4 linked regions of the Oryctolagus cuniculus genome follow. The protein of the gene in region 1 interacts with the protein of each later gene in a pairwise test. Links are inferred from orthologs where the notes say so. Each region holds a gene or a part of one and is shown on either strand. Other genes may lie near its edges.

Region 1 (6,445 bases):
TCCAGCCACGACCAGACGAGTTGCTGTCACCCCGAAACAAAGCCCTACGTGGGGCCGGCGCTGTGGCGCAGAGGTAAAGCCGCACCCAGCTGCTCCACTCCCAGCGCAGCTCCTTGCTACGGCCTGGGAAAGCAGCGCCAGACCCACGTGTGTGGGCGCCTGCACCCGTGTGGGAGACCTGGAGGCAGCTGCTGGCTTCAGCCTGGCGCGGCCCTGGTCACTGCGCCATCTGGGAAGGGACCCAGCAGACGGAGCGCCCTGTCCGCTCCCTGCCTCCGCCTTTCGAAGCCCTCAGTGCAGCTTGATCAGCACAGCTTCAGGAAAGAAATAAGGGGGAGGGTCAACCCACACACCGAGGAGAGCCTTCCAGAAACCTCCCAGCAGAGTGGTGCTCAGGTGCGGGCGTGGCCAGGGCAGCCAAGTGAACCCTGGATGGATTCCTCCTCTGTCCGGTCGGTGCCTCGGCCACGAGGCCAGCGCTGCAGGCCCCAGCAAGGGACAGCGCCAGGAACCGTGTCCTGGGCCCGGTGCACACCGGATCCCCTAAGCGCACGGGTTCCAGTCCCAGCCACGCCGCTTCCGGTTCCGCTCCCTGCCGACACGCCTGGCACAGCAGGAGACGCTCCGAGTGCAGAGCTCCCGGCTCCCGCCTCGTGCAGCCCCAGCTGCAGCCACTGGGCAGTGAGCCACTGCCTGCAGGAGCGCTGACTCCCCGTCTGTCACTTCGCTTGTGAATGTTTTAACAAACACCTGGGCATCCACGGGACAAGTCCCGGCCGCGCAGGCCACAGGGGACACGGCGATCGAGGCCCCGGAGGCACGGGACTGCTCCTAGGCGCTCCAGGCCTGAACGGCAGAAACGCTCCTGAATCGGCAGGTGCGGGCAGGGAGCAGCGGTGACAGCACCAGGCACGGGGGCTGCGGGGCAGGAGTTACCCAGTAACACCCGCGAGCGCACCGCTGTGCATTGGCCGTGCCCTGCGCCCCCCACATCCCGTGTGAATGCCCGCTGTCCGTCCAGTGTCCTATGATGCAGCCTAGCGGACAGCACGTGACGGCCCCAGGCCTGGGTCTGTGGTACCCACGAGTGAGACCCGGATGGAGTACCAGCTCCCGGTTTCAGCCCAGCCCAGCCCAGCCCAGCCCAGCCCAGCGCCGGCCGTGTGGCCACCTGGGGTGAACCTGCAGATGGAAGACCGCTCTCTGTCTCCCCCCACCCCCTGTAACCTTCACAACAAAGTGCTGCTTAACCATTCCCCCCTTCAGCCTTCTAATGCCCCAAACCTGTGTGCAACCCCAAGAACCAGCGTGCGGAGGGCACCACTAGGAACAGCGGCACCCCGTGCTGCAGGCCTGGGTTCTAGGCTAGCTGGCCCCCAGGTTCCAGCCTCCTGCTAATGTGCACCCGGGAGGCAGTGGGGCATTATGGGGGACGGAGGGGGGGGTCCCTGCCACGACGCATTGTGCTCCTGGCTGCAACGCAGCTCAGAGAGGGGAGAAGTTCAAGGCAGACCAAGGTCAGCGACAGAACACGACGCCGTGGGGTAAGCAGGGCGGCCGCTTTCCACGAACAGACACGCAGACGCCAAGTGACAGCGGGGAACAGGCATGGGCAAAGGGCGCTTGTAGGCAGGGTTCACGCGAGAAACAGGCAGAGATGGCCGGGTTTCCACGGCGCGTGGCTCCGAGGACGACCACGGCACGGGCAACGCGGACGACAAACTCATCCTCACGCCACGGCAGGCTTCGCACTTCTCGGGCAGAACACCCGTGCACGGCCACGTGGAGGGCGGCTGTGTGTACACCCGCCTCCACTACAGCCCCTGCCTACACCCACACCCTCACCCCCACTACAGCCCCACTGCCCACCCACGTCCTCACTACAGCCCCTGCCTACACCCACCCTCACCTCCACTACAGCCCCACTGCCCACCCACCTTCACCTCCACTACAGCCCCACTGCCCACCCACCCTCACCCCCACTACAGCCCCACTACCCACCCACCCTCACCTCCACTACAGCCCCCTGCCTACACCCACGCCCTCACCTCCACTACAGCCCCACTGCACACCCACGTCCTCACTACATCTTCCTGCCTACACCCACCCTCACCTCCACTATAGCACCCTGCCTACACCCACGCCCTCACCCCCACTACAGCCCCACCGTCTGTACCGACGCTCTGAAGTCCCGGCTGCCCCACTTCCCATCCGCTCCCTGCTAAGGCCCCTGGGAGAGCAGCGGAGGACGGCAAGGGCCCGGCCCCTGCACCCACGTCGGGGGACGCAGATGGGGCTGGGAGCCCACCCTCTACCGAGGCCCGGAGCGCGGGCCAGGCCCGAGCAGCGGCACGCTGGGCCGGAGGCAGAACCGCGGCCCCACCACGGTGCGGGGAGGCCGAGACGGGGACCCGCGGCCCTCGCGCTGCAGCTGGGCAGCAGCCGCCGGACCTCACGTGCCCGCCGACAGTGGGCGGCCGGCAACGGCAGCCCCGGAGCCCACGGCGCAGCCTCGCGCACAGCGCTCCAGGCCACGCCCAGCCATGTAGCCTCACGTGACACCCTCACCTGACGCACACGGATGGTGCCTAGCCACGGGCGCACGCCACGTTCTAGCGCTGCGCCGCGGACCTTTCTGGAGTGGGTTTTACGTGCGCGCTGAGGCCTGTGAGCGTGGATCCCGCACGCGGGGGAGGCCACGCCGCGCTCAGCAGAGCTCGGGTCTGTGCCCCTGTCCCACAGCCCGGGGTGTGCGTGGGCCAGAGGCGGCCGACTCCTCCACTGCGGCCCCGTGGCCTCCACAGCAGGGGCTGGCCCTTCCGGAGGGGCCCGCGCTGCCCGGGGGCTGCACCCGTGGGCCCTGCCTCAGTTTCTCCTCTGTCCCCAGCCAGCGGCTCGGGCTGCAGCGCACGGAGGGCCGGTGAGGAGCTCCCTGCAGGACTGCCACTCTGCTCCCCGGGAGGTGCTGGGCGGGGGGCAGCCGTGCCTGCGCCTCCACAGGGGCTGCAGGACACAGGTCCCTGCTGCCCAGGCCCTCCTGCCTGCCGCCTGCCGCCTGCCCGGGGCCGCCTCCAGGGCCTGCCGTGCCTTCCTGCCCCAGCAGATGTGGGCCCACAGGTCACGGGGTCACCACGGGCGGTTGGGGCTAGCACCTGTCGGGGGACCCCCTCGCCCTCCAGGCCAGGCTGCACCTGGGCGGGAACCTTGCGCTTCCAACCGGACCCTCACAGGCAGGACCACGCCCGGGCTGCTGGGCTCCGTCGGCTCATCCCAGCCCCGGGCCTCGGACCCCGCTGACCTTCTTGGTGTAGCCCATGGCCTTCAGCACCGAGTGGTTCAAGGTCTCCAGCGAGGCCAGGACGTCCTCGTAGTCCCCCATGTGCTCCACGAAGTAATCTGGGGGCGGGAAGCCGAGGTCGGGGGTCATGGGGGGGTTCTGCCCCTCGCCCGCGGCCCCCCAGTCCCGCCTCTGCCCCTCACTGCCTGCACCCCGTCCCACCCCTGTAGGCACAGAGCCAGGCACCTACCACACAGCTCCTTGGTGTCCACGTGGCTGCAGAGAGAGGAGAGGGGTGTGAGTGTGGTGGCCCCACCCCTCCACAGCTGGTGGGGGGGGGGGACCCTGTGCAGCTTGCTAAAGGCTTCCTGCCGCCCTTTGTCTTCCCGTGCACCCCCAGTGCCCGCACCCCGAGGTGGCTCTGTCCAAGTAGGCGTGGCCAGTACCCACTGCCCCAATTTCCCTTCCAAAGGCTTCCGACCTCCTGGGGAACAGTGGGCTCCAAAGGCAGGGCTAGGGCGGGCCCTGGCTGTCCAGGCCGTCCACACAGCTCCTGGAGAACCCAGCTCAGCCCTGCTCCTCACCCCTAGCCCCTGGGCCCCCCTCCCGACAGCGTAGAGGAGGCTGGCGGCACAGGTGCACACAGCGGCATCAGAGGTGCACCGGGCCAGGAACTGGGGACAGAGTGGTGGTACAGGCTCCGGCAACCTCCCCACCATGTGCCCGAGAGCGCAGGGGCCGGCCCACCCGAGTGTGCTAAGCAGAACCCCGGGGCCAGGGCGCGGGGCTGGACGCGGGGCTGTGCGGGCCGCAGACTGGGAGCTCCGAGTTCTGCAGGAGGCGGCCGCGCAGTTCAGCACCCCAGGCAGCTGATGTCCTCGGCTCACACTTGGCCGGACGCCAGAGCCAACAACGCCAAGGTCTTGGCCTGGCCCTTGTGTGCGGTGAGGCCAGCTGTGGCCCTGGCCAGGCTCGCCGTTGCAGGCAGCACCTCCCGCTGCCCCCCATAAAAGCCAGCAAGTGAGGAGGAACCCATCAGGGGGCAGCGCCTGCACCTGCCAGCCCCCACACAGCCACAGGGACCCTCAGAGCCTCTTCTTTAGTGTCCATCCATAGGCGAGGATCCCACTCCACCTGCCCCTTCCCAGTCCGGCCCAGGCCAGCACTGCCTTCGGCCCCTTGCACGTGGCTTGGTGGCGGCTGCTCGTTCCCTCCTGTCTAGCAAGGGACCCCAGATGATCAGACCTGCCCCAGGCAGCCCCCAGGAACTCTGGTGCCCACCATCCGAGCGGGCCTGAGGAGGGGGACCAGGCAAGGACTCTGCCCCTCCACAGAGTGGGGTGGAGGGGGCATAGGCTGTCGGGGGTGGGGATGCACTTGAACTTGAGCCAGGCTGGGGCCCGTGGTGGGTGTGGAGATGCAGGTCAGGGCGAGATGGGCTGGGAGAGGCTAATGAGGCACAGGTGTGGGCGCTGTGGGGCGGGCTGAGCAAGTCCTAAGCGGAGCTTGGTTTAAAACGGGGGCAGCGTTAGGGAGGCTCCGTGTCGCAGGCAGTGGTGGCGGGGGTCTGCAGGGGCGCTAGCCGCGCAGCCACAGCCACACAGGTGTGCGCGGTGCTGATCCACCTGGGGCCCCGGCCTCGCTCACTTGGTGCTGTCGGAGTCGATGGTGTGAAACAGCGACTCCAGCTCCCGCTCGTCCAGCACGCCGTCGGCAAAGAAGAGCTGGAACTCCTCCAGGGACAGCTTCCCGTCATCTGCAGGGAGCGGGCGCGGCCGTGAGGGGCAGCGGGGGCGGTCCCCGGGACCCCGGGACCCCGGGACCCCAGGCCCAGCTAGCAGGCGGGCCCCTGCCGTCCCCCACCCCGCCAGCAATTAACGGTAAACCCCAGTTCACACGGTGTCTCCCACTCATCCAGCAGTGCCGACCCCCACGAAGGCCGACACAGGGCAGCATCGCCGGCTCATGGACCCTGTCCCGGTGTCGGCCCTACCCGGCGCTCAGCCGTCACTCAGTTCACCCCCAAGCACAAGCTGCTTGACCCAGCCCAAGGTCACGGCGCCACAGCAGGGGGGTCCGACCGGGGGTCCGATGAAGCCCCTCGCCCCACACGGCCGCGTGCCGAGATGCTCGTCCTGCCTGTCCATCAACCCCGGCTGGAGGCTGCGGTCCTGGGAATGGGGCAGGGGAGGCAGAGGGGACAGGGCCTGCCTCCTGTCCCTGTCCCCTCTCCTTGTGTCCCCTCCTCCTGTCCTGCCACTTGCTGGTGCTCCGGGCTGGTCTGACTGCTGGTCCCAGCAGGTCCAGCTCAGGCAGGTGGGGCCTCCCCCAGTTCCCCACAGCCAATGCCCTCCCCTGAAGGCGCTAAGGACGCCTCCCTGGGGACAGCCCTGTGTGTGAGGGACAGCGGAGCTCAGGGGGCCGTGCCATTGCCTGAGCACCCACACATGGCTGACCCATGCGGCCAGAGGGGAAGTCACTCTCAGACTTGCCAGTGCGGCTGCCCCTGCCCGAGGAGGAGAGGGAGGGAGCGCAGACCCGACCCGCCTTCGCCACACCTGTTTTCCCCAGCGCTGTGAGACAGGACACACATGGGCGGGAAGGGAGGCTGGGCACGGGTGCGCCTGGGCCCCCACAGCCCGGCTCAAGTTTCAGGGTCACGGGAGGACACAGGACTTATACCTTCCAAAAACAAGACCAAGAATCAAAATCGGGGCCAACACTGTGGCGTAGCAGGTAAAGCTGCCGCCTGCAGTGCCGGCATCCCATATGGGCGCGGGTTCGAGTCCCGGCTGCTCCACTTTCGACCCAGCTCTCTGCTATGGCCTGGGAAGGCAGTAGAAGATGGCCCAGGTCCTTGGGCCCCTGCACCCACGTGGGAGACCCGGAAGAAGCTCCTGGCTTCGGATCAGCACAGCTCTGGTGTTGCAGCCATTTGGAGAGTGAACCAGCAGATGCAAGACCTCTCTCTCTCTCTCTCTCTGCCTCTCCTCTGTGTAACTCTGACTTTCAAATAAATAAATCTTTTTTAAAAAAGAAACCAAAATAATCCCATGTACAAAAGTCCTCAAAACCACCGTGGGAAGTCCAACACCAGCCGTGCGACCTGTGACCTCCAGAGGGGGCTCCGTGCACTGCACAGAACGCGATACTGCCTGCCCCACCCCC
Region 2 (5,513 bases), on another chromosome or scaffold:
GAAATTAGAAGTTTTACTTTCCCACCTTAAACACGAAAATCAAAGTTGCAGGCAAAGACACGGAATACAAACCCAAGCCTGAAAGCTGCGAGGACGCTGCACATTTAGCTGTTCTATTAAGTCCCTCACGAGACATGGACGCTTCCTAACTTGGCGGCTGCATACCAGTGACTTTTTTTTTTTTTTTTTTTTTTTTGACAGGCAGAGTGGACAGTGAGAAAGAGGGAGACAGAAAGAAAGGTTCACCCTCCAATGGCCGCCGCGGCTGGCGCACCACGCTGATCCGAAGGCAGGAGCCAGGTGCTTATCCTGGTCTCCCATGCGGGTGCAGGGCCCAAGCACTTGGGCCATCCTCCACTGCACTCCCGGGCCACAGCAGAGGGCTGGCCTGGAAGAGGGGCAACCGGGACAGAATCCGGCACCCTGACCGGGACTAGAACCCGGTGTGCCGGTGCCGCAAGGCGGAGGATTAGCTTAGTGAGCCGCGGCGCCAGCCTGACTTTTTAAAAATCCAACTGCTGGGAAGCTCCACTCTCCAAGATGGAAAACCTCACCCACAAGCAAATTAAATATGACATCCAAATGCCTCTAATGGCGTCTGACTCCCCCAAGGAAACCAGCACGTTAAGGATTTTATCTAGAATATGAAAACCCGTATTTTGGACATCAGTTGTCTGTGCACTGCTGCACTTACTGAGCCACGCCTGACACACAGACCCCACACTTGCTACCAACGCGCCTGTTCCGCTGCTGTCCCCCTGCAGCCACTCCAGCGCCTCAGACTTGGGGTGTCGAGGTCTACTTAACAGTACCTTTCTCAAGCCAAGGACTTCTGGATCCAGCATCCAAGCTGGAGAAGGAAAAGGAGCAGAGTGGGAAAGGCAGGGCAGTGTGCAGAGCCCGCTTCCTCCTCCTCTCTCCACTTCAGGGGTCTTCCTCCCAGGACGCCCAAGATGCCCTAAGTACAGGCACGTCAGGAACTCGGCTATGGGAGTTACTTCATGTGTTGGCCATGCGTAAGCAATTGAACAGTTGCATGGAGGAAACTGGAAAACCCTGTTATCTACAAAAGACAAAAACATATTTGATGACTGGGGAGAAGTGGAAGCCTGTTGAATTATATTACCAGTGACTTAGAAACAATGTCTTACAACAAGGCCGGCGCCGCGGCTCACTAGGCTAATCCTCCCGGTTGCCCCTCTTCCAGGCCAGCTCTCTGCTGTGGCCCGGGAGTGCAGTGGAGGATGTCCCAAGTGCTTGGGTCCTGCACCCGCATGGGAGACCAGGAGAAGCACCTGGCTCCTGGCTTCAGATCAGCGCGATGCGCCGGCCGCAGCGGCCATTGCAGGGTGAACCAATGGCAAAAGGAAGACCTTTCTCTGTCTACTCCGCCTGTCAAAAAAAAAAAAAAGTCTTACAACAAATGAACCAGAACTCCTGGGTAACCGTGCCCAGGTGATGCCAATGTAGCACCAGGTCTCACTTGGGAGGAACGATTCCCACTTGTAGCTCCAGGAGGAGCGTGACTAAATTTAAGATTTTTATCCCATCTCCCTGGTCAGTGAAACCTAAAAACACTGGCTGAGGACTTCTGGAAACTTCACTCCTCTTTCTGTGAAACTTCTGATTCCAGCTTTAGCAAACAGATATCAGGTGTTTAAGTACCAAAAGGACAAGCAGCAGCTTAGCACCAAACCAAGAGACTCGGAATCCGGAAGAAAAGTTATCCACACCCCACCTCCTACAGTCAGGACTGGCCCCACTGACTGGTTGCCACGGACCCTTCATCTGCAACATTAGAGCTCCGAATTAGAAAACAACACACACACCAGGTGAAGAAAGGGGTGGAATTTTATCTTTATTTACAGGACACTGTAAGATACGAAATTCCACAGAAGTAAGAAACCCATTCAGAGGACAAGCTTCATACAGTATGTACAGTTTGGAACTGTTCAAGTATAGTTTTGTTGTAAAAGTGCTACAATAACAAACCACATTTAAAAAAAGGTCTTAGTAGAGAAACAGTAAGACAAACAACAAAATGACTGGTGCCTCAGCAGTGCGATCAGAAGTGAAAGGCGCCCGGCGCCCCATCCTGCACTTGGAAGGTGTAGCCTTCAGAGGTGGTCTCTGGCGCAACATTCTGATCTTCCTCTTCCTGAAACATGAAAAAGCAACGTGACCCCATAAATATGGCACATTTCTAAGCAGTAGCATGCCTCAAGTCTCGACCTGCTCATAAAGTTTACAGCTGCACACCCACCTTCAACCCTGAGACCATATTCTTTCTGTCTGACACAGGAGGAGGGAAGGGCCGCTGAAACCCGGACAAGTCAGGAATGCCTGGGAGAAGCAGTTCTGAGTGGGTTAAAGAATGCTACTACAAGCAAAATTGAGATTTTTCTGTTCCACCTGCCACTTGTCAGTAGAAAGAGAGCCAACTACGATCAGAGTTCACCCACTTCTCCAAGAATCCCTACAATGACAACCATAAACTTTAAAGATATTCCGATTCCCAAGATTGTTCATTTGAAAGTAAACTAGTGACTTTTAAAATTTCAGGTTAAATATCATCAACCCAAATATTATATGGGCAAGTCCTAAATATATTTTTTTGACATTTTGCAATACTGAACAAGGGTACAGGGGGTGGGTGTTTGGCCTAGCAGTTAAGATACTAGGAGTTCAGCCGGCGCCGTGGCTCAATAGGCTAATCCTCAGCCTGTGGCACCGGCACCCCGGGTTCTAGTCCCAGTTGGGGCGCCGGATTCTGTCCCGGTTGCTCCTCTTCCAGTCTAGCTCTCTGCTGTGGCCCGGGAGGGCAGTGGAGGATGGCCCAAGTGCTTGGGCCCTGCACCCGCATGGGAGACCAGGAGGAAGCACCTGGCTCCTGGCTTCAGATAGGGGCAGTGCACTGGCCATAGCGGCCATGTGGGGGGTGAACCAACGGAAGGAAGACCTAACTCTGCCTGTCAAAAAAAAAAAAAAAAAAAAAAAAGCTACTAGGAGTTCAAATCCTGGCCCTAACTCCTGATTTTAGCTTCCTGTTAGTATGCACCCTGGGGGAAGGCAGTAATGGCTTGGTATCTCGAGTCTCTGTCACCCACATGGAGACTTTGTTTAAGCTCCTGGCTTCTAGCTTCAGCCTGGCCTAGACTCAGGCATTATGGGCATTTAGGGAATGAACCAGCTTATAGTTCTCTCTCAAAAACATTAAAATTGGGGTCAGTGTTGTGGTGTAGCAGGTAAAGTCGCCTCCTGCAGTGCCAGCAGCCCATATGGGCACTGGTTCGAGTCCCGGCTGCTCCACTTCGATCCAGCTCTCTGCTATGGCCTGGGAAAGCAGTGGAAGATGGCCCAAGTCCTTCGGCCCCTGCACCCACATGGGAGACCTGGAGGAAGCTTCTGGCTCTTGGCTTAGGAGCAGCTCAGCTCTGGCCGTTGTGGCCATCTGCAGAGTGAACCAGCAGATACAAGACCTCTCTCTCTCTCTCTCTCTCTGCCTCTCCTCTCTCTATGTAACTCTTTCAAATAAATAAATCTTTATAAAAAAATTTTTTTAAATGTATGGAACTCACTTAAAGTACAAAGAGAAAAAAAGAACATCTCATAGTTTGCCCATACATGTGTATTTTCCAAGTTGTTATTAACAGTAGCTCACCTCTATAGAGAAGTACTTCTCAATCAAGTTTAATGAAGCCCTATACACGGATTCATTCTCATGGTTTTGAAGAGCTTCAATTTTATCCAAGCCTCCACATTCTTCAATCATTATACTAAGTTTCTCAGTTTCACCTAATTTCTCAGCAGCCTAAAAGAAAAGAAAGGTCCAGTTTACTGGTTTATTCTCTGATGGTTCTATTTTAATGAAAATACACATATCAAAGCTTTCATATATCAGACAGGAATGCACATTAACAGTTTCTTTAACAATCCTAATGATAGTCTTATGTCCACTTTATATTTTTTTTGAAACTCAATGTAGCAGGTACATGAGAGAAGGTGGGAGAACCAGTCACTCATAATTTACAGATGGCGATAGACACCAGCCTTCCTTATTCTGAATCCAGCTTCAACATGTAATAATTTCCAGAACCAGATCTAGAAGTTGGTACCAATCACTACGGCAAAATGCCATGTGCCGGCAGGGTTAAATCATCCTCAGGTCAAACGAGAAAAATATAGCTAATTTCACCAAAATTTAGCATGAAATTGGGGGGTTAAATATACCTGACAAAATAAGTAGTATGAATAGCTTTCACTTCAAGACTTGACTTCAATTAAAGTCGTGTCATTCATTAATCACCTGTTACATGCCTCTTATAATCCCTAGGAAGAGTGTGGTAGAATGGGCATTTAGAGGAGTCAGTGCTGTGGCGCAATAGGCTGAGCCTACACTAGTGGCTACGGATGGAGGGGATGGCAGGTGTGTGCGCCAGTTTGTGTCTGGGCTGCTCCTCTTCCGATCCAGCTCTCTGCTATGGTCTGGGAAAGCAGTGGAAGACGTCCCAAGTCCTTGGGCCTCTGCACCCGCATGGGAGACCAGGAAGAAGCTCCTGGCTCCCAATCAACCCAGCTCCAGCCGTTGTTGCCAACTGGGAAGTGAACCAGCAGACAGAAGACCTCTCTGTCTCTCCCTTTGTTACTCTTGTCTCTCAAATAAATAAAATCTTAAAAAAAAAAAAAAAAAAAAGGGCATTTAGACTGGTAGCTAGGATACCTGCATCCTGCCTCAGAATGCCTGGATTCAGTTCCTAGCTCCACCTCCTGATTCCAGCTTCCAGTTAATGCTGATAGGCAGCAGTGATGGCTCAGGTAATCGGGTACTTGTCTGCCACCCACTTGGCAGACCTGGATTGCACGTCTGGCTCCTGGCAGGGCCCCAGGGGTTGTGCTTATTGGGGAGTGCACCACTGAAGGGAGCCTGGCTTACATAAATGGCCTTGCTGGTTCTGACTACTAATGAGTCATCTAGCTGCCCTCCCTAGTCGACACAGCAAATCAATCACCATGAAGCCCAAATTCAAACAAATGCCACCCTGTTAGGGCTTACCTGGAAGATATTTGAAATGGCATCCAGAATAACCAGAATAATTTTGGTATCCTTTGCGGTCAAGAGGTTCATCAACGGTTCTATTATACCACAGTGAACAAGGTACACAATCTGTTCAACTGTTCCGCCACTTGTATAGTTGGTTACAGCCCATACTGCTTCTTTTTGTGTCTTAAAGTCTGCCTATTAAACAAAAGGAATTGGTTTTAGTTCAGAACAGTCACACAAATGAGATTCCAAAATTTCATTTTACAGAAATAATGATTGAAACAACCAACTGGCTCTATCCAACCTTAAAGGAAAGGGATTACTGGTTATTATTTATCAATGAACTCAATGAATAGTACCCAACCACAAAAATGTTGGCCTGTAAATGCAATCATATGATTAAATCTCTAATACCTTAGAGAGAACACCAACAAGGAACGGGACCAATCCGTGATTCACAACTTGCTGTATC
Region 3 (6,445 bases), on another chromosome or scaffold:
GTGGAGAGGAGGCATGGGTGCCAAAGAGGGAGAGGAGTCTGGGGGGCGGGGGGGCGGTGCTCACCGATACACCAAGGCGAGGATGTTGAGCATGGTGGCGACATCAGGGTGGCCACGGCCAGATGTGCGCTCCAGGTCCTCCAGCGCCTGCTTGCAGAGCGGCACAGCCACCTCATAGCGACCCTGGGCTGCGTACTGAATCACCAGGTTGTGTAGCGTCCGCAACCTTGCTGGGATCTCATATCCACCCTGCTGGGCGGCTGCAGCGCCTTGGCCACGCGACACTGAGCCAGCCCGGAAAACGAACAGCAGATTTCCTGGAGGACTCTTCCTCTCCCACCCCAGACCTCCCCTCTATGTCTTGTTCCATACCTGCACCTGCCCCTACCAGACTCTCTCTACTGACACCAGAGCCTCCACTGCTATTCTGTTACCTGCTCCCTGGAACCTGTGCCCACTACAGTTCTATTTGTTCCCAGTGATGCATTCACTCAATAAGACTGAGCGGGGCCAGTGTTGTGACATAAAGGGTTAAGCCACCACTTATGACCCTGGCATCCCACATGAGTGCCAATTTGAGTCCCAGCTGCTCCACTTCTGATCCAGCTCCTGAGAAAGTGGCAGAATATAGCCCAAATACTTGGGAGATCCAGATAGATGTCCAGGCTCTTGGCTTTGACCTGGCCTAGCCTTGACAGTTGCAGTCATTTGGGGAGTGAACTAGCAGATGGAAAATTCCCCTCTCTCTCTCCCTCCCTCCCTACCTCTCTCTCTCATAGCCTTTCAAATAAATAAAAAAATCTTAAAAAAAATAATAAGCCTGAGCCAGGGGCTATCCCAGGAACACAAAGATAAGAAAGAGCTGGTTCCTTCCCCTGAAGAACTCATGCTCTTCCCATCTCAGGTTCATTCCCCCATAGACCGTGAACACATCACCAGTGAGACCTGTGTTATTTTCATCTTGCTATTCCTAGTGCTCGGCACATATCGCTTAATAAACATTGATGATAAGGAGGAGGCTGAGAAAATTAAAGGACTAGCCCAGCCCTGCCCCCTCTCCAGAGAGAGGGGAGAACCTGTTTCTGGATGGTGACATCCTGAGCACAGGGCTGGGCCCAGAGCAGCCTCTTGCTGCCCCTCGTTCCCCTCCAGCTCTGAGGCAGACTCACAGCCGTTGCTAGGGTCCTCCTCCTCTTCGTTGGGGAAGAGGTCATCCAGAGAATCCTTGGTGGCATCCCCTTGTTTTTCCTCCTGGAAGGGAAGCAGTAGCATGTGAGGGCCAAGATAGCGCCGGTGTGAGGGCCCCTCTAAGCCACAAAGTCACTGAGAGGGGCCTCTGCCCTGGGAAGGCCAGCATCCGGCCCAGCCACACTCAGGCCTCTTTTGTTGGCAAAAGCCAGAGATGCTTGGCACAAATTCCCACGACTTCCCCTTCCTTCACATCCAGAAAGTTCCCTTCCTTACTACCTCCACTCCCCAGCCTCCCTCTCTCCTGCTCCACTCTTGTAATTATAGCCCTGTGCTGATGCCTGGTGTTTACTCTGATTATATGTCTGTTCTGTCTCTCCTGAGGCCGGACAGTGTCTCTGACCTTACTGACACATGCCCAAGGTGTCTCGCTCAGCCTCACACCCATCATCTGCCACTGCCTGCTTCGGACATAGTGAGCACCCCTCACTGTCCAACCTACTTCCACACTGGGAGAATCTGCTTTTCCCATCAGGAACGGCAGCTTTAAGCAGCGACCTCCAGCCCTTTCCCCTGCCCCCTGCCCTCTGCCCCCTGTACCAGTGTGTCCCATGCAAAGCGTCTCCTGACTCTCTCAGGGGTAGACCAGTAGTGCAGCCCTGGAGCCTTAGCTTGACTCCCCTGTCTCTCTTCCTTGTCATCCTTCAAGAATCATCCCAAACCCTTGTCAAATGAGAAATTCAACCTAAAGCATACCCATCTCTGTCCCCGGCCCCCTCTGGGAATCCTTTAATCATTCCGGCCTCAGGGGCCTACCTCCTATGAATTCCTCTTGCACTTACTGAGCCATACTCACCCAGCACGGAACATCTGCTGCCATGTGTTGTCACACCTGCGTTCTCAAGCGTGAGCCCTGTCCCCTACAGACACATTATAAACTCAAGAAGGCAGAGTGTCTCTTCTACGGGTCTTTATAGCTCCCTACACACATCTTGCACTGCCTGAGGCACAGCGATACATGAATGCCCGTTGAGTGAGAGTGAAATTTCACACGTTTCCACAGCAAATGTTAAGAGGGTCTTGTGCAACTGGGTTTCCCTACCTGTAGCACTTAGTGTTCTGCACTGGAATTGTCCAGGAGCTTGTCTGTTTCCCCTCACGAGTCCATGACTGTGACAGCAGCAAGTGTGTCTGCCTGTTCACTAGGGGAACGCATAGTGCCTGACACAGTAAGCATTTCACCAAACGTTCATTGAATGAACAGAGAGTTTTCCCCGCAGCCATCACCTGAAAAAGCAATCCTGCCAGGTGGGGTAGGTTGGGGAGCTGCTAGGCCCTGAGGATGGGGGGACAACGGCCCCACTGGTGGTGTCTCCCAGCTGCCCATCCCCCGGCCAGCCCCACCTGCGAGTGCTCACCGCAGCGTGCCCGTCCTCGTCATACTGCCGCAGCTGCCCCAGGAACTCCAGGTGCTTCTTTTCCTCCTCCAGCTGAGCCACGGCCTGCTCACTGCGCTGCAGTCGCTGCTGGGTGCCCGCCAGCTCGTCCCGCAGCCACTGGTTCTCCTGGCACAGCCGCCGTACCTGAGCCCGCAGCTTCTGTTTCTCTGACTCCACTGTGCTCAAGTGGTTGGCGAGAGCCAGCATCACCTAGGTGGGCACATCCTGTGAGCTCCAGACTCCAGAAGGGAGCCTATAGGCAGGAGGGGAGCCTACTGGGAAGCAGCAAGACTGGCAGGAACACAGAGGAGCCCAGAGGCAGGAATTTTGGCTAGCAATGATGCTATCTTCAAAATACACCCTGAATCTCACCACTGCCATTGCCATTTCGCAAGGCCAAGCCACCACTAATTCCCACCTGGATGACCACAGCAGCCTCCTCACTGGCCTCCCTGTTTCTGCCCTTGCTCCCCCGGAGCCTATTCTCAGTCTAGCAGCCAGATGATGTCAAATTAGATCACATCATTCTTTTCAAAACATTCTGACGGGGGCTGCGTTGTGTGGTGCAGTGGCTGCAATGTGGTATTCCATGTCAGAGTGCTGGTATGAGTCCCAGCTGCTCCACTTCTGATCCAGCTCCCTGCTAATGTGCCTGGGAAAGCAGTGGAGTATAGCCCAAGTGCTTGGGCTCCTGCCTACCACATGAAGTTCCTGGTCCCTGGCTTCAGCCTGGCCCAGCGCCAGCTGATGCAGCCATTTGGTGACAGAACCAGTAGATGGAAGATATCTCCTCCACCCCACCCCCACCCTGTCACTTTGCCTTTCAAAGAAATAAATAATTTTTATTTGAAAGGCAGAGTTACAGAGAGAGGAAAAGAGATCTTCTATCTGATGATTCACTCTCCAAATGGGTACAACGGCTGGGGCTGTGACAGGCAGAAGTCAGGAGCCAGGATCTTCTTCCACATCTCCCTCATTGGCTCAGGGGCCCAAGTACTTGGGTCATCATCTGCTGCTTACCCAGACAGGAAGTGGAGCAGCCAGGTCTTGAATCAGCACAATCTCAAACCAGCACTCATATGGGACACCCAGCCTTGCAGGTGGTAGCTTGACCCGTAACACCACAATGCCAGCCCCAATAAATAAATCTTTAAAAAAAAAATCAAAACATTCCAATAGAGGTAGATGCTTGGCCTGATGTTTAAGATGCTGGTTTGGACACCCGTGTCCCACATGGAAGTGCCTGGATTTGGTCCCCAGCTCTGGCTCCTGACTCCAGCTTCCTGCTGGTGCAGACACTTGGAGGCAGTGGTGACAGCTCATGTCGTTGGGTTCCTGCCACCCACATGAGAGACCTGGTGGCTCCTGACTTCAATCCTGAACCAGTCCTGTCTGTTGCAAGCATTGGGGCTGTGTGTCAGCAGGTGGGGGATCTTTCTTTCTGTCTCCTTCCTCTCTCAAAAAAAAAAAAAAAAAACCTAAAGAAACAAAACATCCCAGTAGCTTCCATATCACTAACATAAAATAAAAGCAGTCAATTGCACATGATCTCTCTGCTTCTCCCCAACTCCATAGTCCATTAGACTTTTCTTCTTTGCTTTCCTTCACTGAGTGCACTACAGCCACACTGCTCTTTGCTGTTCAATGAACTCAGCAGGCAGGCTCAAGTTCAAGTTCAGGGCCTCTGCACTGGCTGTTCTGTTTAGGAGGCTGATCTCTTATTGATTGGATGATTCATTCCATCACCTTTTTAAATCTTTGCTCCGATATCACCGTTACAGTGAGGCCCTGTTGGATCAGCATTATCTAAAACTGTACCCTCTCCCCACACTCCCTAGTCCCCCTCCCTGACTCATTTCTATCTTTAGCAAGTATTGCTCGGCACACTGCATCATTTACTCATTTGTTGTGCATTGCCTGTCCTGTCCCCACCCCTACTCCCCAACACCTAGAATGCAAACACCAACGTGGCAAAGATTTTGTGACGTATCTCCTCTGCTCAAAGGAGTTCTGGCCCATACCAAGGGCTTCAAACATATTTACTGAATTAATGTATGCATGCATCTAAGACAAGGTGATCCCAAGTGACCCAAACATCCAACCAGACAGCTGCTCCGCCACCCGCTCTGACTCATTCAGCACCAGCTCACCTGGGCCTCGCTCAGCCCCAACTCTATGTTTTCCATGGATCGGCGCAGCTGCCGGGCCTTCTCATGCACCAGCCCCTCCTCATGGCCTCCCTGCTGCAGACACTCGATGGTGTGGGATAGGCTTTGCAACACAGCCTGGTGTTCACTGTGCAGGGCCTCCAGTCCTTGGCTCACGAGCCGAGTGCTTCCCAGGATCTCCTCTTGGCTGAGTCGGTGCCCTGCAGGTTCATCCCGCTGCCCCAACACCAGACCTGACATCCTGGCCAGGGGAACCTCGCCTGGGCTAGACAGAAACAAGAATTCAGCTGTGGTAAACACAAGACAGAGAAGCTGAGGACCTTGGTAATAGGGATCCAAGTGAAGGGACAGGAGTATGGGTGATCCTGTGACTTAGCTGGAGGAAAACTGCTACACTTAACAGAAAGCTAAGATTCCAGGCAGAGATGGAGAGGGGAACAGGCATTTGGCACAGAGTTAGGATGCTACATGGGATGAGTGCCTGGGGGTTTGAGTCCTGGATCTGCTTCTGATATTTATTTGAAAGGCAGAGTTACCGGGGGGGGGGGGGAGGGAGAAAGGGAGAGAGAGAACTCTTCATCTGCTGGTTTACTCCCCAAATGGATATAACAGCTAGGGCTGAGGCTAGGCTAGGCCAAAGCCAAGAGCCTGGAACTTCATCCAAGTCTGCCACATGGGTGGCAGGGACCCAAAGACATGGGGCATCTTCTGCTACTTTCCCAGGCACATTAACAGGAACCTGGGACTCAAACCAGTGCTTACTGCTGCCCTACAACACTGGCCCCGTCTATCTTTTTCTCTCTCTCTGCCTTTCAAATAAATAAACTTTTTAAAAAAAAAATTTTTTTTAATTTTTTACGGGCAGAGTGGACAGTGAGACAGAGAAAGGTCTTCCTTTTCCATCGGTTCACCCCACAATGGCCACTGCGGCTGGCGCACCGCGCTGATCTGAAGCCAGGAGCCATGTGCTTCTCCTGGTCTCCCATGCGGGTGCAGGGCCCAAGCACCTGGGCCATCCTCCACTGCACTCGTGCTTCTCCTGGTCTCCCATGCGGGTGCAGGGCCCAAGCACCTGGGCCATCCTCCACTGCACTCCCGGGCCACAGCAGAGAGCTGGGCAGGAAGAGGAGCAACCGGGACAGAATCCAGCGCCCCGACCGGGACTAGAACCCAGTGTGCCGGCGCCGTAGGTGGAGGATTAGCCTAGTGAGCATGGCGCTGGCCTCAAATAAATAAACTTTTAAAAAGTCTTTAAAAAAGCTTAAATATGTTGTTTTTAAAAAAGAGAGAGAAGAGTTGAAATGAAGCCAGACTGTAGAGGGAACAAAGGTGCCTGGAACTATCAAGGATTAAGACTTACGAACAGAACAGAAAAGACGTTGGAGAGAGCTTAGGTTAGGAAAAGAAATGAAGAGAAGAGAGACTACATTAGAGTACTCAAAGAAGGGCCAGCATCATAATATAGCCAGTTAAGCTGCCTGCAATGCTGCATCTCATGGTGCTGGCTGGAGTTTCAAGTCTTGGCTGTTCTACTTCTGATCCAGCTCCCTGCTAATGCACCTGGGAAAGCACTAAAAGATGGCCCAAGTGCTTGGGCCCCTGCACCCACATGGGAGACCCAAGTGGAGCTACAAATTCCAGGCTCCTGCC
Region 4 (6,445 bases), on another chromosome or scaffold:
TTTGTCTGACTGAAAATTTCCAGAGAATTGTCTTCTAACTTGATATTCTTTCTTCTGCTTCACCAATTCCATTGTTAAGGCTTTCCACCATATTTTCTATTTGTTCTATTGAATTGTTCATTTCCAATATTTCTTTTTGACTTCTCTTTTTTTTGGTTTAAAGATTTATTTATTTATTTGAAAGTTTGAGTTACACAGAGAGAGAGGAAAGGGAGAGAGAGAGAGAGAGAGAGAGAGAGAGAGAGAGAGAGGTCTTCCATCCACTGGTTTACTCCCCAATTGGCCGCAATGGTCGGAGCTGTGCCAATCTGAAGCCAGGAGCCAGGAGCTTCTTCCAGGTCTCCCACACGGGTTCAGGAGCCCAAGGACTTAGGCCATCTTCCACTGATTTCCCGGACCATTGCAAATAGCTGGATTGGAAGTGGAGCATCTGGGACCTGAACCAGTGCCCATATGAGACGCCAGCACTGCAGGCAGTGACTTTACCCACTATACTGCAGCACCAGTCCCTGATTTCTCTTTAAGATCTCAATTTCATGGGAGAAATTTTCTTTCATGTCATGTATGGATTTCATCAGTTTATGTATTTGCTTCTGATTACTTCGAAGTAATCCTGGGATCAATTTTTTGAATTATATTTCTGACATTTCTTCAGTGTCTTCATCTTCACATTATGCTATTGAAGTATTATATTCTTCTGGGGGTGTCATGTTGTCTTCCTTATCCTTGTTTCTTAAATTGTTGCATTTATTATTAGGCATTTGTGGATAAACTTGTTGGTTTCTCTTTTGTTTCTTTATTCCCTATGATGGCTTTTATCTTTGAACCATGCCTCTGTGGCTTAGTGGAATGTACACATTTTTAATGAATACCCAGAGGCATGTTCTGCATGTAGCCAGTGATGTCTGTTTAGTGCTCCAGGGTAAAGGGAGTGTCCAAGGTGACACCAGGTTGAGCTTGGTAAATCCTTTTTTTTTATCATAAGGGATGATTTTTCTGCTCTGTTGGCATAGTCTCATGCCCACCTCCTCTCCTCAAAAAAGACCAGTGCCTGGGCACTGGGCACTAGCCCCAGTGGGTACAATATTCATCCATGCTACCACAAGAACCACACAAAGGATCTGTACGGGCCTCAGTGTAAGCATGAATCCTGCAGCAATCCCCCCGCCAGGGAATCAGGGATCCCCAAGTGTGTGGAGTTGCCCACAGTGACTGCCCAAAGTCCCAGCCACACCCTGCTCCCCCCACCATTTAGCCATAATGTTTTCAAAGTCCCAGCACACAAGCCTCCCATGGACACAAGCACCCAGCTTCCTGTCAATTCCAGCCAATCTTGGGCACCTCCACTTGGCTGGTTGCTGGGTGCACAGACAAGAGCTGGTGCAGCTGTTACATATGTCCAAAATAGCTCCCGCCCTCAGCATGTTACCAAAGGCTGGTGCAGGGGTGATTGGGTGGAGAGAAATGTGCTTCCTTTTTTTCTCATCTAGGCTGGCAGGTACACTGTCCCCTACAGGGCTCCAAGCTGGGCTCGTGCCAGACTCTTCCCACAGCTTAATTGCTAGATCATGAACTGCTGCAGTCTGGTTTCACCTTACTCTCCAAAACTGATGCTGAGGCTCTTGGCTGCTGGGTCCTGAGTTGTGTGCATCCACACCCTCCACATACATCCACAGTGTCCCTCTGACTTACATGGAATTTCCCCTGCCATTTTCTCCCTAACTCTTCGCTGAGACTGAACTCTCCCCTTTTTCAAACTAACTTCCCCTAGCCTAGAGCAGTAAGCTCCCTCCCTATTCTGCCATCTTGGATCTCCCCAAGTGGTAATAACATGGTGAGAATCATTCAAACACCAAGACAAACATAATCAAAATGGTGAAATGATTTCCTATCCAGTTTTTAGGTAGATAAATGCTTGCTAAGACTAGTCACCCAATCACTGTCCTTTTAAAGGAAATGGAGAAGAAGATGAGAATATTGAAAGAGAGCACCGAGGAATTACGTAAGGAAATAATGCAGAAGAAGTTGGAGATTAAAAATTTACGGGAAGATTTGGCATCTAAGCAAAAGCAGTTACTGAAGGAGCAGAAGGAGCTGGAGGAATTGCTGGAGTATCAGGTTGTCCTGAAGGTATGCTGCTTGCAGTTCATAGATGCTTATACATGGTGCCTGCCTGAGAGTCAGCGTGATGGGATCAAGACGAGCTATGTAGGTCTGACTAAGGGATATTGTCACACAAACTGCGAGGATCTGCATTATGGCTGAACCTATCACTCTCTGCAAGCTTGCAAAAGACTTAAAGGTAGTATCACTCTAATTCTGACACGCCGACCCTGGAAGAGAGGCCTCTCTAGCCCGTACCAAGCATTTTTCAGTATTAGCAGTGATTGTCACAGACACACTTGCTTTTATCAAAAAGGGGAGGGGCGTATCTATTTATTTGAAAAGCAGAGTGACAGGGCGGGAGGAAGGAAGAGACAGAGCAAGCTCTTTAATCTGCAAGTTCAGTCTGCAACAGCCAGGGCTGGACCAGGCCAAAGCCAGGAGCCTGAGACACCATCTGGGTTTTCCACACGGGTGGTAGGGTCCCAAGTACTTTATCCAAGAACCTCTGCCCTCCTGGGTGCATTAGCAGGAAGCTGAATTGGAAGTAGAAGAGCTGAGATTTGAATCAGCACTCACATCTGGGATGCAGGCATCCCAAGGAGAGGCTTAACCTGCTGCTTCATGATTATTCTACCAAGAGCAATCAGCTGTCCTAACCTCTTGTGTCTATTTGTGCTGCCTTCTCTTTGATTCTATTCTAATACTTCTCACCGTAAAAGGGATGATAGGCCTGTGCTTATGTTTTAGGAGATAATAAATTACAAATTCATTTTATTTTAGAAAGTGTATAATAATTCTCAAAACATTTAAATAATTTATAGTGTTCTTTTTAAAGAAACATAGCTAGATTCATTGGTTTAGGGGATTGTTATGACACCCTTTGACCTCTTTCCTTGAGAGTATCAATGCAGTTGGCCAAGCTGTGCCCAGCTATAGGAACAGACCAGAGATAGGTATACCAGATGTCCAGTGAAGCTTCAGCCTCTCCATTGTAGGAGCCTTGTCTGGGACCCTGAACCTAATTTTCCATCTGTAATATCTTGCTCTTTTTCTTAAAGAAGATTCCCCAAACTTTACAAGTTCCAGCCTCACAGACCTTGGACATGGACTAGGACAGAACCACGTCCCACTCCAGCACACTGCAGCCAGGTGCCCAGCCTCCAGCATATGCGTGTCCCCAGCCCAACCCCAGCGAGACCTTCTAGAACCCATGTGGTATTTTTATGCCTGGTTACATGTACCTGAAAATGGCAGCAGATATACCTATCTTAGAAGGTCATCTGAGTATTGAATGAAATCATTCTTACCAGTATTAGGGCAGATACCCATAAGAAGTCTACATAGTAGGGACAGTACTATGGCACAGCACGTTAAACCACAGCCTACAGCACCAGCATCACAAACAGAGCTGCTTCCAATGCAGCTCCCTGCCTGGGAAAGCAGTGGAGGATGACCCTGCACCCACATGGGAGACCTGGAGGAAGCTCCTGGCTCCTGGCTTCAGACTGGCCCAGCTCTGGCTATTGTGGTCATTTGTGGGTTGAACCAGAAGCTAGAAGATCAATCTGTCTCTGTCTCTCTCCTCTCTCTCCTCTCTCTCTCCTCTCTCTCTCTCTCTCTCTAACTCTCTAACTCTGCCATTCAAATAAATAAATATAAATCTTTTTAAAAATAATTCTACATATTTTAGTTCTTCTCTCTTTCCTGTTTAATTATCTTGTCTTCCTTGCTCTGTTCCAAGACTGAATTTAACATGGCTCTCTATTTCTTTACTAGGATGAAGTGGCGCACCATCAAACTATTCCTGTACAAATTGTGAAAGAGATAGAAAAAACAACACGGAAAAAAGTGTATGAATCAATATTTTCACTTTCAGCCCCTCCTTGCCTACTCACTAGACATATCACATTACTATGGTAACTTTAGGAATGTCTGCTCTGGGCCCTGTCTAGGTCATATATGTCAAGTTCTTTAAAAGAAAGAAGTGCAGCAAATTATTATCATTCATACATATTTCTGTTTTAATTATGGATTCAAATTCTATTCCTAACTCATAAATCATATCTTTATGGAGAAATCCAATTGACTTTCACAGAGCTGGGGACAAATTAGGTGAACAGTTTTGAAGTTCATGGTCTTGGAAGCAAGTCAATCAAGCAGCTGCTTAAAGCCCCAGTGATAGTAACTCTTTTCTTTGCCACGTATTTCTGTATCTGACGCCTGAGACAGAGGTCATGGGGGAGATTCTCAAAGTTTAGAGGAACTAATTGTTGAAGAAACAATTTAGAGAGAAGAGGGAAAAATGCAGCAGGCACTAATAGTTCTAAAATCCAAGCTCACTGGCACCAAAGATGAGAAATTTAGGTCCCTTGTGAGAAGCTAGTGAGGAAGGGAGTAGATTCCCAGAGGTGAGAGCAGTTGGTTGACAGGAGAGGAAGATGGGCTGCTTTTCCTCTGCAGCTGTCTAAGGATGATACCCTCCATGCCCCATTCCTCTGTGGCCTCCACCCACTTCTAGTCACTGAATTTATAACCAACTCTTCTGCCGCCTGGTTGGGAAGTTAACAGTTTCAGGCAGCATGGGCTCAGAATAAGGTAAATTGTGTGTGTGTGTGTGTGTGTGTGTGTGTGTGTGTGTCCATGCACATGTGTGTTTATGTGTGCCTGTCTGTCTTCTACAGAGAAACAGAAAAGAAAAAACTTGTCTTGGAATGCGAAGTCAAAGAGCTAAATGACTCCATAAAGAAAGTTGAAACCAAAATTAGCGCTGTAGTGGAAGAGAAGGAGGATGTAATGAAGGAAGTAGAAGGCAAACGAGCCTTACTTGAAATCCGGGAACGAGAATACAACCAGTTGGCCAAGATGCTGGAACTGGCCAGAGAGAATGAAGCCACGTCACTAAGTGAGAGGTCAGTGGTCGTTATGTGCACCTGACATCTGAGACTTCAGTTTGTGTTTGAGGATTCAGAAAATAATCTCAGTATTCTGTCGACTCAATGAACATTTTATAGGATTTTAAATTGATTTTTACCCTAATGAAAAATTATCAAAGAAAACATTTGAAGTATTTCCCCCTTCTCGACTCATCATTTTCTTCAATTCTGTGATCAAATGTTAAGGGGGAAAAATCTGTTTTATGTTGTAAGTTTCTAAAATGTGCCTCTGGGATAGTCTATCCCTGGAGAGTGTTGTGTAATTCAGGGATGTTTACCAACAAGTGAATGGTATTTCTGAGGTTATCTTCACTTATTCCTAATGGGAGCAATTCTATGGTGCAATCCTCTGGGCGAGTTTTCTTCCTACGTGAGGTACAATTTCAGAGGAATTGGGGGCATCTGTCTCTGCCATTTTGCTATTCTGGTTGCCTTTCTGTTTGTAAGGTTGTTGCCCTAAATGGTACCAACTCCAAAACCTAGTGGTGGTGGGCATGATTGACAACGTATGGTTCCAACATGAGGATATTTCCGTGTGTACATGCTGAGAATGCTATCACGTTCAGTTTCGAAGGCCATGCGGGCCATGCAATGGCAATTCACTTTCCTTTTCTGCACTTACCTGGAACAGAGGGATCTTGGATCTCAATTTGCGGAATAGCCTCATCGACAAGCATAACTACCATGACGAACTGTCTCGTAAGCAAAGAGAGAAAGAGCGAGATTTTCGACATTTGAAGAAGCTGGAGCTGCAGTTGAAAGTGTCCTGGGATACATTTGCTCAGACTCAAGCAACACACCAAAGGCTACTATTAGAGGTGGGTGCTATAGACCACTGTCTTGACTTTTAAGTTCACTGCCATCATTTGACATGAAAATGTTTTGAGAAGCTGTTTTTCCTGCCAGGAGAAAAGGAAGGAAAGTTATCAGAGAAAAGGTAATTTTCAAATGCACCAAACCTATTAAATGAGGGCACTGCCAAAGCGCTTGGAAAATGGGATTAAAAAATAAGTTTATTTTGGTACAAGGAATTGTTTGAAATCCATGCAGGTTTTTCATAGGACACATTTTTTCATGAACTTTTTGAAGACTGCTGGTAGAGTCTAGAGCCCTATAATGTTTTTCAATCTCTTTTTCCTAGCCCAAGATTAGTGAAATGCCTTGTCTGGGTCAGGTAACAGCCTGGCCAAGGAAAATAACCGGACCTTCCAATTCAGGAAGAGCCAGAGGGTTTGTTACGGGGTAGGGCCAAATGGAGCACTGTCTTTTCAAGCAAAAACAATCAAATGCAGCATGATGTCATGGCAGAGTCTAGCAGTTAAGGACCAGATCAAATAAACTAAGCATAGATGGGCAGGTGACCCAGCTAGCTGAGAGCAACTAGAACCAATACAGGCCACCTGGCT

Evidence for each region.
Region 2: the proteins of NECAB2 (region 1) and KPNA2 interact in binary tests that used the Homo sapiens proteins (3 or more experiments, as listed by UniProt). The two-hybrid records come from large-scale screens. The link is inferred for Oryctolagus cuniculus from reciprocal best matches to the Homo sapiens genes NECAB2 and KPNA2.
Region 3: the proteins of NECAB2 (region 1) and KLC4 interact in binary tests that used the Homo sapiens proteins (3 or more experiments, as listed by UniProt). The two-hybrid records come from large-scale screens. The link is inferred for Oryctolagus cuniculus from reciprocal best matches to the Homo sapiens genes NECAB2 and KLC4.
Region 4: the proteins of NECAB2 (region 1) and CCDC146 interact in binary tests that used the Homo sapiens proteins (3 or more experiments, as listed by UniProt). The two-hybrid records come from large-scale screens. The link is inferred for Oryctolagus cuniculus from reciprocal best matches to the Homo sapiens genes NECAB2 and CCDC146.

The regions. Positions count from the first base shown.
Region 1 is NC_091449.1:65,756,869-65,763,313, reverse strand, and holds part of NECAB2 (N-terminal EF-hand calcium-binding protein 2), read right to left. Parts: intron 5,034-6,445; coding exon 4,925-5,033; intron 3,554-4,924; coding exon 3,528-3,553; intron 3,397-3,527; coding exon 3,299-3,396; intron 1-3,298. UniProt on the Homo sapiens protein: May act as a signaling scaffold protein that senses intracellular calcium.
Region 2 is NC_091448.1:13,983,323-13,988,835, reverse strand, and holds the end of KPNA2 (importin subunit alpha-1), read right to left. Parts: coding exon 5,456-5,513; intron 5,237-5,455; coding exon 5,054-5,236; intron 3,812-5,053; coding exon 3,662-3,811; intron 2,159-3,661; coding exon 2,066-2,158; 3' UTR 1,834-2,065; downstream 1-1,833.
Region 3 is NC_091436.1:126,957,030-126,963,474, forward strand, and holds part of KLC4 (kinesin light chain 4), read right to left. Parts: intron 5,061-6,445; coding exon 4,778-5,060; intron 2,838-4,777; coding exon 2,607-2,837; intron 1,252-2,606; coding exon 1,170-1,251; intron 285-1,169; coding exon 65-284; intron 1-64.
Region 4 is NC_091434.1:141,715,042-141,721,486, forward strand, and holds part of CCDC146 (coiled-coil domain-containing protein 146), read left to right. Parts: intron 1-1,953; coding exon 1,954-2,130; intron 2,131-3,882; coding exon 3,883-3,956; intron 3,957-4,787; coding exon 4,788-5,015; intron 5,016-5,670; coding exon 5,671-5,857; intron 5,858-6,445. UniProt on the Homo sapiens protein: Essential for sperm flagellum biogenesis and male fertility.